3 linked regions of the Rattus norvegicus genome follow. The protein of the gene in region 1 purifies or fractionates together with the protein of each later gene. This does not show direct contact. Links are inferred from orthologs where the notes say so. Each region holds a gene or a part of one and is shown on either strand. Other genes may lie near its edges. The genes, in order: Mphosph10, Imp3 and Imp4.

What was found.
Region 2: the proteins of Mphosph10 (region 1) and Imp3 purify together in Homo sapiens (affinity purification with mass spectrometry; 4 studies listed by BioGRID and IntAct, with this or other methods). This does not show direct contact. The link is inferred for Rattus norvegicus from reciprocal best matches to the Homo sapiens genes MPHOSPH10 and IMP3.
Region 3: the proteins of Mphosph10 (region 1) and Imp4 purify together in Homo sapiens (affinity purification with mass spectrometry; 3 studies listed by BioGRID and IntAct, with this or other methods). This does not show direct contact. The link is inferred for Rattus norvegicus from reciprocal best matches to the Homo sapiens genes MPHOSPH10 and IMP4.

Annotation. Positions count from the first base shown.
Region 1 is NC_086019.1:127,372,995-127,377,177, reverse strand, and holds the start of Mphosph10 (U3 small nucleolar ribonucleoprotein protein MPP10), read left to right. Parts: upstream 1-1,251; 5' UTR 1,252-1,295; coding exon 1,296-1,384; intron 1,385-3,152; coding exon 3,153-3,837; intron 3,838-4,183. Other genes in the region: Mcee (methylmalonyl-CoA epimerase, mitochondrial), read right to left, coding at 650-695. UniProt on the Homo sapiens protein: Component of the 60-80S U3 small nucleolar ribonucleoprotein (U3 snoRNP). Required for the early cleavages during pre-18S ribosomal RNA processing. Part of the small subunit (SSU) processome, first precursor of the small eukaryotic ribosomal subunit.
Region 2 is NC_086026.1:66,234,204-66,236,990, forward strand, and holds Imp3 (U3 small nucleolar ribonucleoprotein protein IMP3), read left to right. Parts: upstream 1-1,294; 5' UTR 1,295-1,303; coding exon 1,304-1,858; 3' UTR 1,859-2,183; downstream 2,184-2,787. UniProt on the Homo sapiens protein: Component of the 60-80S U3 small nucleolar ribonucleoprotein (U3 snoRNP). Required for the early cleavages during pre-18S ribosomal RNA processing. Part of the small subunit (SSU) processome, first precursor of the small eukaryotic ribosomal subunit.
Region 3 is NC_086027.1:44,148,458-44,152,842, forward strand, and holds the start of Imp4 (U3 small nucleolar ribonucleoprotein protein IMP4), read left to right. Parts: upstream 1-1,571; 5' UTR 1,572-1,903; coding exon 1,904-1,906; intron 1,907-2,019; coding exon 2,020-2,128; intron 2,129-4,385. Other genes in the region: Ccdc115 (coiled-coil domain-containing protein 115), read right to left, coding at 834-916, 1,048-1,151, 1,232-1,342. UniProt on the Homo sapiens protein: Component of the 60-80S U3 small nucleolar ribonucleoprotein (U3 snoRNP). Required for the early cleavages during pre-18S ribosomal RNA processing. Part of the small subunit (SSU) processome, first precursor of the small eukaryotic ribosomal subunit.

The sequences.
Region 1 (4,183 bases):
AGCAGACTTTGAAAGATGACTAGTTTCAATAGAGGAGCAGACAGAACTTTCCAGGCTAATGGATTTGTCGCAAATGTAACAGGAACTCTGGAATGATACTGCCTTACACTTTCTTTCAAGTTGAAAATCTCAGACGGAGGGCAGTAACTGCCACCATGCAGAAAGGGAAGAAAATGGAAGAGAAAGTGAGACAGGCAGAAAAGTTGGGCATTTGTCACCAAGATTCTGCTTCTTGATTAATGAGATGGAGGTCGAAAGAACTCAAGGAACTTACAAATCCTTCTGCTTGCTCCTTTCCTGCTCATGTCAGATGAAAAAATTGAGTGTGGTACGTGTATAAAACTGGCTTGGACTGAGACTTTCAGGACTTGCCACTTTGCCCTTTTCTCCTATCTCTTAGAGGAGGCATTTAATAACTCGAGTCTCCTCCAGCTTTATTGCAAGTCCTGCCTTGCCTGTGTTCTTAGGCAGATTACCTGTCTGGTCCATGTTTGCCAAGGGCAACCCTTGAGCACAGAGAAGGACAATAAGGAACTCCCGTGCTAAAAGGAGCGCAGCTCCAGGAGCCCAACACTTCAGACCCAGGCCTTGGCCTCCCGCAGCCTCCCGTGCCCCGCACCCGGCGCCCCTGATGGTGCCCGGTATTCACCTGTAGCGCCTGCAGCCAACGCAGCGGCCTTCACTACCAGCCTCATCTCCTGAAGCTACAAGCTTGCACAGCGACCCCGGGCAAAGACAACTAGGAGAGTGGGCAGGGGGCGGGGCCTGAGGTGGGCGTGGAAAACAGGACAAGGGTGGGGCTCGAAGGCAGTGCCCCAATACCCTTTAGAGAGCTAGACGGCTGAAGGGGGTTGGGGATGGGGGCGGAAAGAGAGCAAGGGGCGGGGCCTGGGGCCTGGGGCGGGGTAACAAGACTCGGAGCTTGACTGACGGCTACAGAGGGTGGGAAAAACGGGGCAGTGGCGGACGCCGCATAGGGTGACCTTCTTTTCCGTTACATTAAAATACTTATTGTATCGAATGCAAAAGCAGAAAGCGACCACGCGACACCACTGCGGTTCTCTTAGAAATACAAAACATTTGGAGAAAGAGCCAAGACGCTTGAGATGACCAATAGCCCTTTTCGGTGGTCGGCTCCACCCCTACGCATGCCCAATAGAAGCGTTTGCTGCTAGGGGCCGGAACCTGTGTGTGGCGGAACCTTAGGCTCTGAGCTGCAGGTTGCTTGAGGCAAGTGTTTGCGGTACGACTTCCGGCCGGTTCCCAGCCCTCGTGTGGCGCCGTAGTGTATAGCTATGGCGCCCCGCGTGTTTCGTCGACAGACCCTTGAACGGTGTCTGAGGGAAGTCAGAAAAGCCACCAACCGACCCGAGTGTTTCCTCACGTAAGTGCAGATCCAACTCTGGCAGAGAGCGACCCGCATCACATCGGTGCTAGGCGGGCCGGCATCCGTCAACTTCTGAAAGCCAGGAAGTGAAGTACAGGTCGCTCAGTCCCAACTTCAGTTTTTTAACAGTAAAAGCGGTTCAGTGTAGATTTCCTAGTTGTGCACTATTGAACTAAGTGCAGTTAATTCGCGTCCAGAGAAGCGTATTGCGTGCGGAATACGCTTTCTGAATTTGTGTCCCCCAAATACACACCGCTTACCTGTCATTGAGCTTTATTGAAAGTACGTACTTGTTGCTTTTCAGTGTATTTTCACAACTGAGCTTGCAGAGACCCAAGCAGTAGAGGAAGCTCGGAGAAGCCTGTGGAAGGGGGGTGGGGAATGACTGTAGGAGGCATAGGGGTCCAGGACACCACAAGAACACGGCCCACCTAATCAACTAATCAGGGTTTATGGAGGGCCCCACAGAGACTTTATTGGCTATCACGGAACCTGCGTTGATCCTCTGCATATATGTTGTGGTTGTTTAGCTTGGGGTTTTTGTGGAACTCCTAACAGTGGAATAGCGGCGTTTCTGATTCTTTCACTCTTGGGGCCCTTTTACCCCTCTGGGTTGCCTTGTCTAACCTTGATATGAGAGATTGTGTTCGGTTGAAGCCTACTTTTTTTGAAGGGAAACCGAGGAGCAGTGTGGATCTGGGGGAGGTGGGGAGGGAGAAGAGGCTGCAATTAGAATGTTTTGTATGAAAGAATAAAAACAAATTAGGAGAGACTTCTTTCTTCCCAGCATTTTGATTAAGTTCTGTAAAATTATGACTCTGACTTATATTGAAAATTTTAGCAATAGCATCACATCATTGTGTCCAAAATAGAGCTCCCCTCCCCTCCCCTCCTGTATTCTCCTCTCCCCTAAAGTCATTTCCCCGTTTCTATTACCTTAGCTTACTTTTACTGCCCCACTAAATGGCAGTTCTATCATTTCATTTATTCAGATTCAACTAGTCTACTTCCTTGATGCTTTCCTTTTTGCCGTACTTTCTCCAACCCTTTAGCATCCTCAGAATCCTATCTACAATATATTTAGACACTGATTCCTAATTGTCATACTTCTGCCGTGTCTCTGACATAAAAATCCTTTGCATCAGCTTTCTAACAACCTTTAACATTCTTTCTCTCTCCAAATTGTAAATCATCATCACATATTACACTTTTAAGTGACAAATTCCTATCTCAGAACCCAGTTTCTATAACCTCAGCCACCCACTGTGCCTCCTCAGCCACACTACAGCTGTCTTGGTCTTTCTGTTCTTCGCATTGTCTGAACTCATCTCTCTGCTTCTAAATATTTCTTATAACCAGAATATGTGTTTCCACATCTGTACTAGACACTGTTTTTTCTGGAGGCCTCAATTTGTAGATCCCATTTCGGTTATCATATCCTTAGAGAATTTTCCTCAAACTTAAAGCCAAGTGGCAATCACTTGCCAAATGACTAATAATTGCAGAATGTGTGTAATGCAGGTTTGAGGATTTAAGGCTGACTTCAGAGGAGTAGTGATCCAGCCTTTAATATACAGAGCAAAATCAGATAACTGCGGTCGGACTCATCAGCAAGATACTGTTGGGAACAGGAATCTGTACTTAAAACTGATGTCCATTTACATTTTAATTTGTAAATAAGTTACGGCTTTTATTTCTTCTTTTATTTAAGAATGCTTGATGTTATTGTGTATAATTCATCTCACTTAATCTCCTTTCCTAATAGGATTCAAAATGGACTAGCATCAAACCTCACTTCATTAACAAAAGTTCTGTATGATTTTAATAAAATATTAGAGCATGGCCGGATCTCCGGAAGTCCTTTGCAGAAACTTGAGATAAAGAGTTTTGATGATGAGCAGATTTGGCAACAACTAGAACTGCAGAATGAACCAGTCTTACAGTACTTCCAGGATGCGGTTAGTGAGGCGGTTGAGGATGAAGATCTCAGCCTTCTCCCAGAGTGTGAGGATGAGGAGTGTGAAGAGGATGCCTCAGAGGTGGAGGCTGACAACCAGGAGAACGTGGAGACAGACTTGGAGGATGAACCACTGTCAGACGAGGGCGGCCATGTTCCTAAAGGGGGTGACAGAGCCAAAAGCTCAAGGAAACCTGACCCGAGGAAAAGTCCTGCTTTCAGCGATGAGGACTCTGACCTTGACTTTGATATTAGCAAGTTGGAGCAGCAGACCAAGATGCAGATCAAACCACCTAGAAAACCAAGGGAAAAGTCTGTAGTAGATGATAAGTTCTTCAAACTGTCCGAAATGGAGAGCTTTTTAGAAAAAGTGGAAAAAGAAGAGGAAAAAACACCTGATGGTGAAGAGGAGGAAGAGGAAGACATTGACCTTTTTGAAGACATTGATTCAGATGAAAATGAGGGAGGGCTATTTGGGAAGCAAAAGATTAAGGTAAGGTTTTGGGAGAAGAAACTGTTTCTTTAAAGTACAAGTCATGTTTTCCTAAGGAGAAATTTAATGTGCCTCGAACTTATTTGACCCCAAGTGACGTATGGAAAAAGGAGCAAACGTGAAGAATCGGACTAAGAGCTGAGCCAGTAGTGCAGGAGTCTAGTAAGCCTCAGGAGTGGGAGGCTGAGGCAAGAAGATGTCTCCTCAAAACCAGCCTGGGCTACATTTGCTTTGGGTGTCCTTAGATTTCTATGGTGGTTAACTAGTTGCCAGTTTCCCTAACAACTATTTTTGGTTGGCGTAATGGTAATGTTAGAAAACAGTTTGTATGGGTGTATAATATACC
Region 2 (2,787 bases), on another chromosome or scaffold:
AAGTTACCAGGACAACTAGTGCTAAGACATCCTGTCTCAATAAAAAATAAAATAAAATAAAATAAAATAAAATAAAATAAAATAAAATAAAATGATGGCCAAGGTGGCTCATGCTCACTTGTAATCTCATTAATTTGGATCGAAGCTGGTTGGATTGTGGTGAATTTGTGGCTGACCTGGGCTACCTAAGGAAACTGTGTCAAAAAAAGTAAAAGGCACAGCTGCTTCCAATTCTGATTATTTGTTTGGTATTGCTCAGTATTACTTGGCAAGAAGAATCCCTCTGCCAGTCCAGTGACAGACCTGATGCTGGCTGGGATGGAACTATTCCTCAACTCTAGGAACCACTGGAACTGAGACGTTTGCAGAGTTCTAACCGCGTTCTTGGCAGAGACAATACTCTCCTCTTTTTAAAAATTTATTAGCATTCTACTTTTCTAACTTTGTGTACCCTTTTTTTTTTCTTTCTTTCTTTCTTTCTTTTTTTTTTTTAAAGATTTCTTTTATCAGTGCTCTAGCTGCATGTACATGAGCATGCCAGAAGAGGGCATCGGATCTTATTATAGATGGTTGTGATCCACCATCTGGGTAATGGGAACTGAACTCAATGACCTCTGGAAGAGCAGCCAGTGCTCTTAATTGCTGAACCATCTTTCCAGGGTTCGAGAGATAGCTCAGCCATTAAAAGTTTGGCTCACAACCAAAAATATGAGACAATTCTTTTAAAGACGATAACTCCTCACTCTGGGAACTGACATCTGCATCTATTGAGGGGGCAGACTGTCTTTGGTCATCAAAGACAGAAATCTGACAGACTAGGGGCTGCCAAGATGGCTCATTAAGAATAATTGACTGTAAAAAAAATAAAAAAAAAAAAAAAAAAAAAAAAAGAATAATTGACTGTTTTTTCAAAGGTCCTGAGGAATCCCATGATGGTTCACAAACATGGGATCTGAAGCTCTCTTTTGGTGTGCATGAAGACCGAGCACTCACATACATAAAATACGTCAATGAATAAATCTTAAAAACAAAACAAAACAAAAAAAAACACAACACTAGAGAAAGTCTACCGGACTGCTAATAAAGCTGTCTTTGCCCAACACGCCTCTCCTTCCGCAAGTCTTTCTCCCCACTCCCCTTTCAAAACAGGAAGTTCCAGATTTGGACGAATGAAAAGTCGGGGGCGTGTCTTCAATATTTCTTTTGATTGGTCCAGGAGCATGGAGGCGGGGGTCTTCCCTTGTCGTGGCGGAAATTACGTTGGGTTCTCAACGTGCTCTCAGCTTCTCGGGCTTTCTCCATCATGGTGCGGAAGCTTAAGTTCCATGAGCAGAAGCTGCTGAAACAGGTGGACTTCCTAAACTGGGAAGTCACCGACCATAACCTTCACGAGCTGCGCGTACTGCGACGGTACGGGCTCCAGCGGCGCGAGGAGTACACACGCTACAACCAGCTGAGCCGGGCCGTGCGCGAGCTGGCGCGGCGCCTGCGCGACCTGCCGGAACGCGACCCGTTTCGCGTTCGCGCCTCGGCGGCGCTGTTGGACAAGTTGTACGCTCTGGGCCTGGTGCCCACGCGCGGCTCACTAGAACTCTGCGACTCCGTCTCCGCCTCGTCCTTTTGCCGCCGCCGCTTGCCTACTTTGCTCCTCAAGCTACGCATGGCACAGCATCTCCAGGCTGCTGTGGCTTTTGTGGAGCAGGGTCACGTCCGCGTGGGCCCAGACGTGGTCACCGATCCCGCCTTTCTCGTCACTCGCAGCATGGAAGACTTTGTCACCTGGGTGGACTCATCCAAGATCAAGCGGCACGTGTTGGAGTACAATGAGGAGCGCGATGACTTTGATCTTGATGCCTAGCGAGTCTTGTCCTGGTTTCTCAGCTACAGGTCACTGAACCGGGGATGGGGAGAATCGCCTCTGTGTTCCGGGAAATTTTCTTAGAATTTGGACTGACAATTGACTGTGTCTTGAGAGACAGTGGGAAGCAGTTTTTACTGCTCTGGGGACTGTTAGCTTCTTGTACCTTAAACTGTGGTGTAGAAGCAGGAATGTTACCTCTTCCCTTCTTTGCTTTATCATCGTGAAATAGAACAGATGGAGAGTTTGAGTTCATTTTATTTATACCATTTAAAGAAATCCTTTCCTAATGCCAATAAATGTCCCGACCACGTTGTTTAAATGCACATTTTGGTCTGGTCCTTCGTCTTACCATATCTGTTGATCTCGCTAGCTGAAGAGCCTAAGAGGAGGAAAAGGGTTGTAGACGTGAGACTCTGCAGCCTCACGTGGAGGCTGCAGGATGTTGTACACGCTGGGCAGATTTGTCACTTACCCAGTCCTTTTCTCGGAATGAATGTTTTGGCAGAGCTTTTATCCACAAGACTTCCTGTTGATATTTCAGCCCCAGGAAATACCATATTAAAGTCTTGGAGTGTTTGCTTGCCTAAGGAAATGATCGCCCTGTAGTTTGGCCAGCTAGTGGTTAGAAGGGACCCAGGAGGTTCCTGAAAACAGATGTTCTTCAAGGTCCTGGCTTCAGAGTTACTAAAAAAAACAAACAAACAAAAAAAAAACAAACAAACGAGCAAAAGGGGTGGGTAGTGTTGGCACAGCCTTAAACCCAGCAGTTGGAAGGTTAAAGCAGACAGATCTTTGAGTTTGAGGCCAGCCTGGTCTACATTAAGGAGTTACAGGACAATCAGGGATACACAGAGAAACTATTTCAGGACCAAAAAAAAAAAAAAAAAAAAAAAAAACCAGCAGCAAAAGGAAAAACATGAAGCAAT
Region 3 (4,385 bases), on another chromosome or scaffold:
TACTCCGACTTCCAGGACAGACAATTCTGTCTGCCTGTAACAAGATCACAGACTGACTTTGCCCATTTTACCTAAATGTGATGAAAGACCCTGAAATGTCCCCAATCTGTTTCAGGAATGATGCACTGGATTTAGAAGTTTATTTCCAAGGAACCCCTAGATATAGGGATATGCATTTTCTGTTCAGCTGAGCTCCTTTGACTGCAAAATAGACCCCACTATAAAACAGCCTACCTATAACTTCTTCTTTAAGGATTAAAGTACCAAAACAAACTCCATTTTGTTTTTCAGACTCCATTTTAAGCTAACTTGACCTCAGAGTGACTTGGTCTCTAACCTTGAGTTCTGAAAAAACAAACAAACAAACAAACAAAACCAACCAAACAAACAAACCAAAAAGAAAACCCAAGATATTCTTGGCAGTTGCAAAACGGACATAACAGCTGTGGCCAGTCGGTAATGACAGGGCGGGCTAAGAAAATAGGAATCGTTCCCAGGTCAAGATGCTCCTTCTAGAACGTGTAGTCCCTTCTTGTGGTTTGACCAGATGCTGTGAACCAATCAGCTTAAACACCAACATCCCTTAACCCTCTTACCTAATCATGTAACATCAAGGCTTGGAATAAACCCCATTCCCTTAGACCTCCTCGGGTCGCTCTCCTATCCTGTTACTTTGAACCCTACACTAGCAAAGTATAAAGAAAAAAACGTCTTCCTTAGACATTCAACTCTCCAGCTCAGGCGCTCTCCATTAATGAAGTAACTTCCTTAAATGTTCAATGAGTTTTGCCTTTAGCATAGAGTAAGGGCTGACAGGAGGAAAGGAAACTCACATGCTTCGCTAGGCCCCACTTCCTCGGGGATCTGGGCGTTAGCTTTGATCACTCTGAAGGTCTGGGGTCCATCCTGGGCCTCGCTGAAAGAGAAGGGAAGATGAACTCTGGCCGCGCAGGCCTAGGTCCTGCCCGCCCACTCTATATGGGGGTGAGGTGGTGGGAAGGGAAACGAGGGCGGGGGGGGGGGGGAACGGTGAGGGGGGAACCTCACCTGGCGCGCACGCAGACCTGAGGCTCCATACGCGAGGCATACTGCAGGGGCCCTACCGACTTGGCTCCCATGGCATAGCGAGCCTTGGCAAGTGAAAGCCAACCCTGGGGAGACAGGAGGACTTGAGACTGTTTCGCTCCCTGTGCTCGCTTTTCTATCCCTCCCTCCATTCCCCATGGCCCACCTCCTCCACCCGGGCGTTCAGTGCGGCCCTCTTCGCCTCCAGTTCCTCCAGGTCACTAAGCAGCTGTAGGCACTTTGAGTCCAATTCCTCTCGCAGGGCCTGGACCTCCATGGTCCAGGTAGTCTTGGGACGCGGAGGGGCAGAGCCACTTCCTTCCGAGCCCTCTAATCACTGTGAGCCCATGTGCATGTCAGCCAATCAACGCTCGAGATCCGCCCTTAGGAGGCGTTCCTAATCGTGGCCCGGAAGTCAAAGGTTTCAACTTCCGGGTGACCCGTGTCAACGGCCTGCATGAGGGTTAGCTTCTGGAACGGAACATTTCTCGAATCAGATGGCTATGAAAAGTCGAGTCCAGGAAGCCATCCACGCAGTTGCCACTCTTACTTTTTCTTAGCCTACTGCCTGACTGGCTCAAGCGTTGGTGAAGCCACGGACGGACTTATTTATCAGGGCGGCCTTAGGCCACATGACATCCCAAATTCGGGTAATTGATTGGTTGTCGGTCTGACCAATCACCTTGCGACGCCATTCGCCATTTTAAGATGGGGCAAGCTGCACGGCAGTGGAATTGAGTGAAGCCCCTAAAGGCCTTCCTAGTTGAGGGCGGAAGTGTCGCTGCGAGGTTCCGTCAGCGACCGAATAGTCCGGACTCGTGAGAGAGCGACGCTCATCATGGTAGGATGGTTTGAGTTCGTGTTCTGGTTTAGGGGGAAAGAAGTGGGGTACGGGAGGGCTGAGTTGTGGTCCTCGGTGCTCCGGAGTGGATGGTGACCCTATGTATTCTCTAGCTTCGTCGGGAGGCTCGCCTACGCCGCGAGTACTTGTACCGTAAGGCCCGGGAGGAGGCGCAGCGATCCGTTCAGGAGAAGAAGGAGCGAGTCAAGCGTGCTCTAGAAGGTAAGGCCTCCCTGTGCTCTTGGGTTTACAAGTCCTTGCTAGAGCATGCTGCACAGAAGTGTAAACGCGTTTGAACTTCTTGTATTTATATTAGTGCGGCTGAGCGTCTTTCCTTTCTTTGCCTGTTAGTTAGGACTTCTCACTGGTTTCTGAATGGACCCACCATGTGATGGCATGGCCGTTTATGCTGCAGTCGCCCATGTTTACAGATTGATTGCTAGTTACAGAATATCAAGTTTTTCTTTAGTTTTAAGACTTTTGCCTCAGTGGGCTCGTGGCGGCGCACGGCTTCAATCCCAGACCTCCGGAAGCAGACAGGCCAACCTCTGTGAATTCCAAGACAGCCAGAGCTAAAACAGAATCCCTGTCTCGAAAAACTAAAAAGCAAAACAAGCAAGAAACCTTTGTCTCGTCTTATTGATTCCCATATCTAGGGATGGGTCTACAAGAATCCTTGGTATTTGTTCTTGCTGTCTTCTTTCAAAACAGAAAAATCTGTTGATTGTTATAATTGTCTTGCATTTTAAAACTCTTATTCCATTTAAAATTTGCCATTTGCTTTGCAAGTTAGCTTAAAACTTTGCCTTTCGTTAATCCACATTTTCATTTGCCCTATTAAATAAAGGCCCTATATGACAGAGCTTAAGTGGAAATGTTCTATTTATCCCTATTTTGGCTTTGAATCCAAGGAGCTTTGAGTCTCCCGTCTGGTAGTACATCGTCCCTGGTACTGGTGACCAAATTCTGTTCCTATGTTTTAGTAATATAGAGTATATGTGTGTTATGTAAAGTTTGTTTGAGTAAAACTTAATGTTAGGGCTAGAATTGTACCTCGGCTTGAGTGCTTGCCTAGCACGAAGGAGGTTCTGGATTCTGTCCCCAGCCTAACTAAACTGGGCCTAGGGGCCTATGCCTATAGTGGAACACTGGTAAGGTGGAGGTTAGAGGTTCAAGGATTGCTTTGGCTGTAGAGTTCCAGATCAGCCTGGGCTGATACAGAAGATGTTAAGCGTCTGTGACTCATCATCATAATTTAAAAGTGGAAAAGAAGAGTGGAGATGACTGGAAGAAATTTCTCAAGGGTTAAGAGCACTTACTGTTCTTTGAGAGGATCCAAATTCATTCTCACTACCCATATAGAGTGACTCACAACTGTCTGTAATCCCAGCTCCAAGGGATCCAGTGTCCTCTGGCCTTAGCAGCTCCTGACACATGTGCGTGTAACTCAGTCAGACACACACATATACAGAAAGATGATGAGTATATTAACATTTATAACTATCACTATGTCCAATGCTACATTAAAAGCAACTGTTTTAAGCTATTATTTGTGTTTACATTATGCTTACTTATATCTCTAAGTTATGATGTTTGAGTTACAGGCCTAAGGATGTATATTAGAGTATGTGTTTGGCTGCTGTGCCTGTTGGGTTTGGGGGCTCAGTATCGTTTCTAAGATGCAGAAGGTATGGTCGGACTTAAATTCTTGTAAGTATCCTGTGACAGATAAGAGCTTTTCTTCAATTGGTAGCTAGAAGGAGTGCAGCTGCTCTGACTCTTCCCTGCTTCGCTCACATGCTAGAGAAGCAGATCTGGGCCTCAGCCCTGGCTGTCCCACTGTAGTCCACAGAAAGAATCTCTGGCTCACAGCCAGCTGCGGCCATGCACCTTGAGGTATTCTGTACATCCAGACAGCAGTGTTCTCTTTTTTTTATATTGTTGTTAATTGTTCTTTGAGGCAGGGTCTCGCTATGTAGAGTTGTGTGGCCTCACTATGCGGACTAGACTGTCCTCAAACTAAGAGATCCCCTGACTTTGCCTCCCGAGTGCTGGGACCAAAGGCGTGCAGAGGACCTTAGTATGCAATGTGAAGACCTGAAAGTCACGGTCTCCCTTCCTACTTAAGAAGCAGTTTCTTTCTTTTTTAAGTATGACTACTCCGATCGCATGTTCACCTGAATGCCAGAAGAAGATATCAGATCCCTTTATAAATCAGGGTCTTAACCTGCAAGCAAACTGCCCACCAGTACATTATCAAAGTTTCTTTAAATTTTTGTCTGGTTATAAAAATATTGATGATGATATGAAGAAGTATTTAGAAAGTGAGCTCCCCAGTGACGTTATAGTTGACAATTAGATGAAAAGAAGTTGGTAGCTAAGTGTGGTGCCATACCCTGTTATCGACACACTCAGAAGCCAAAGCAACAGGCTTCTCAAGACCATGTCTCCAATGAAATAATTAAAGTAGTTGGTTTGT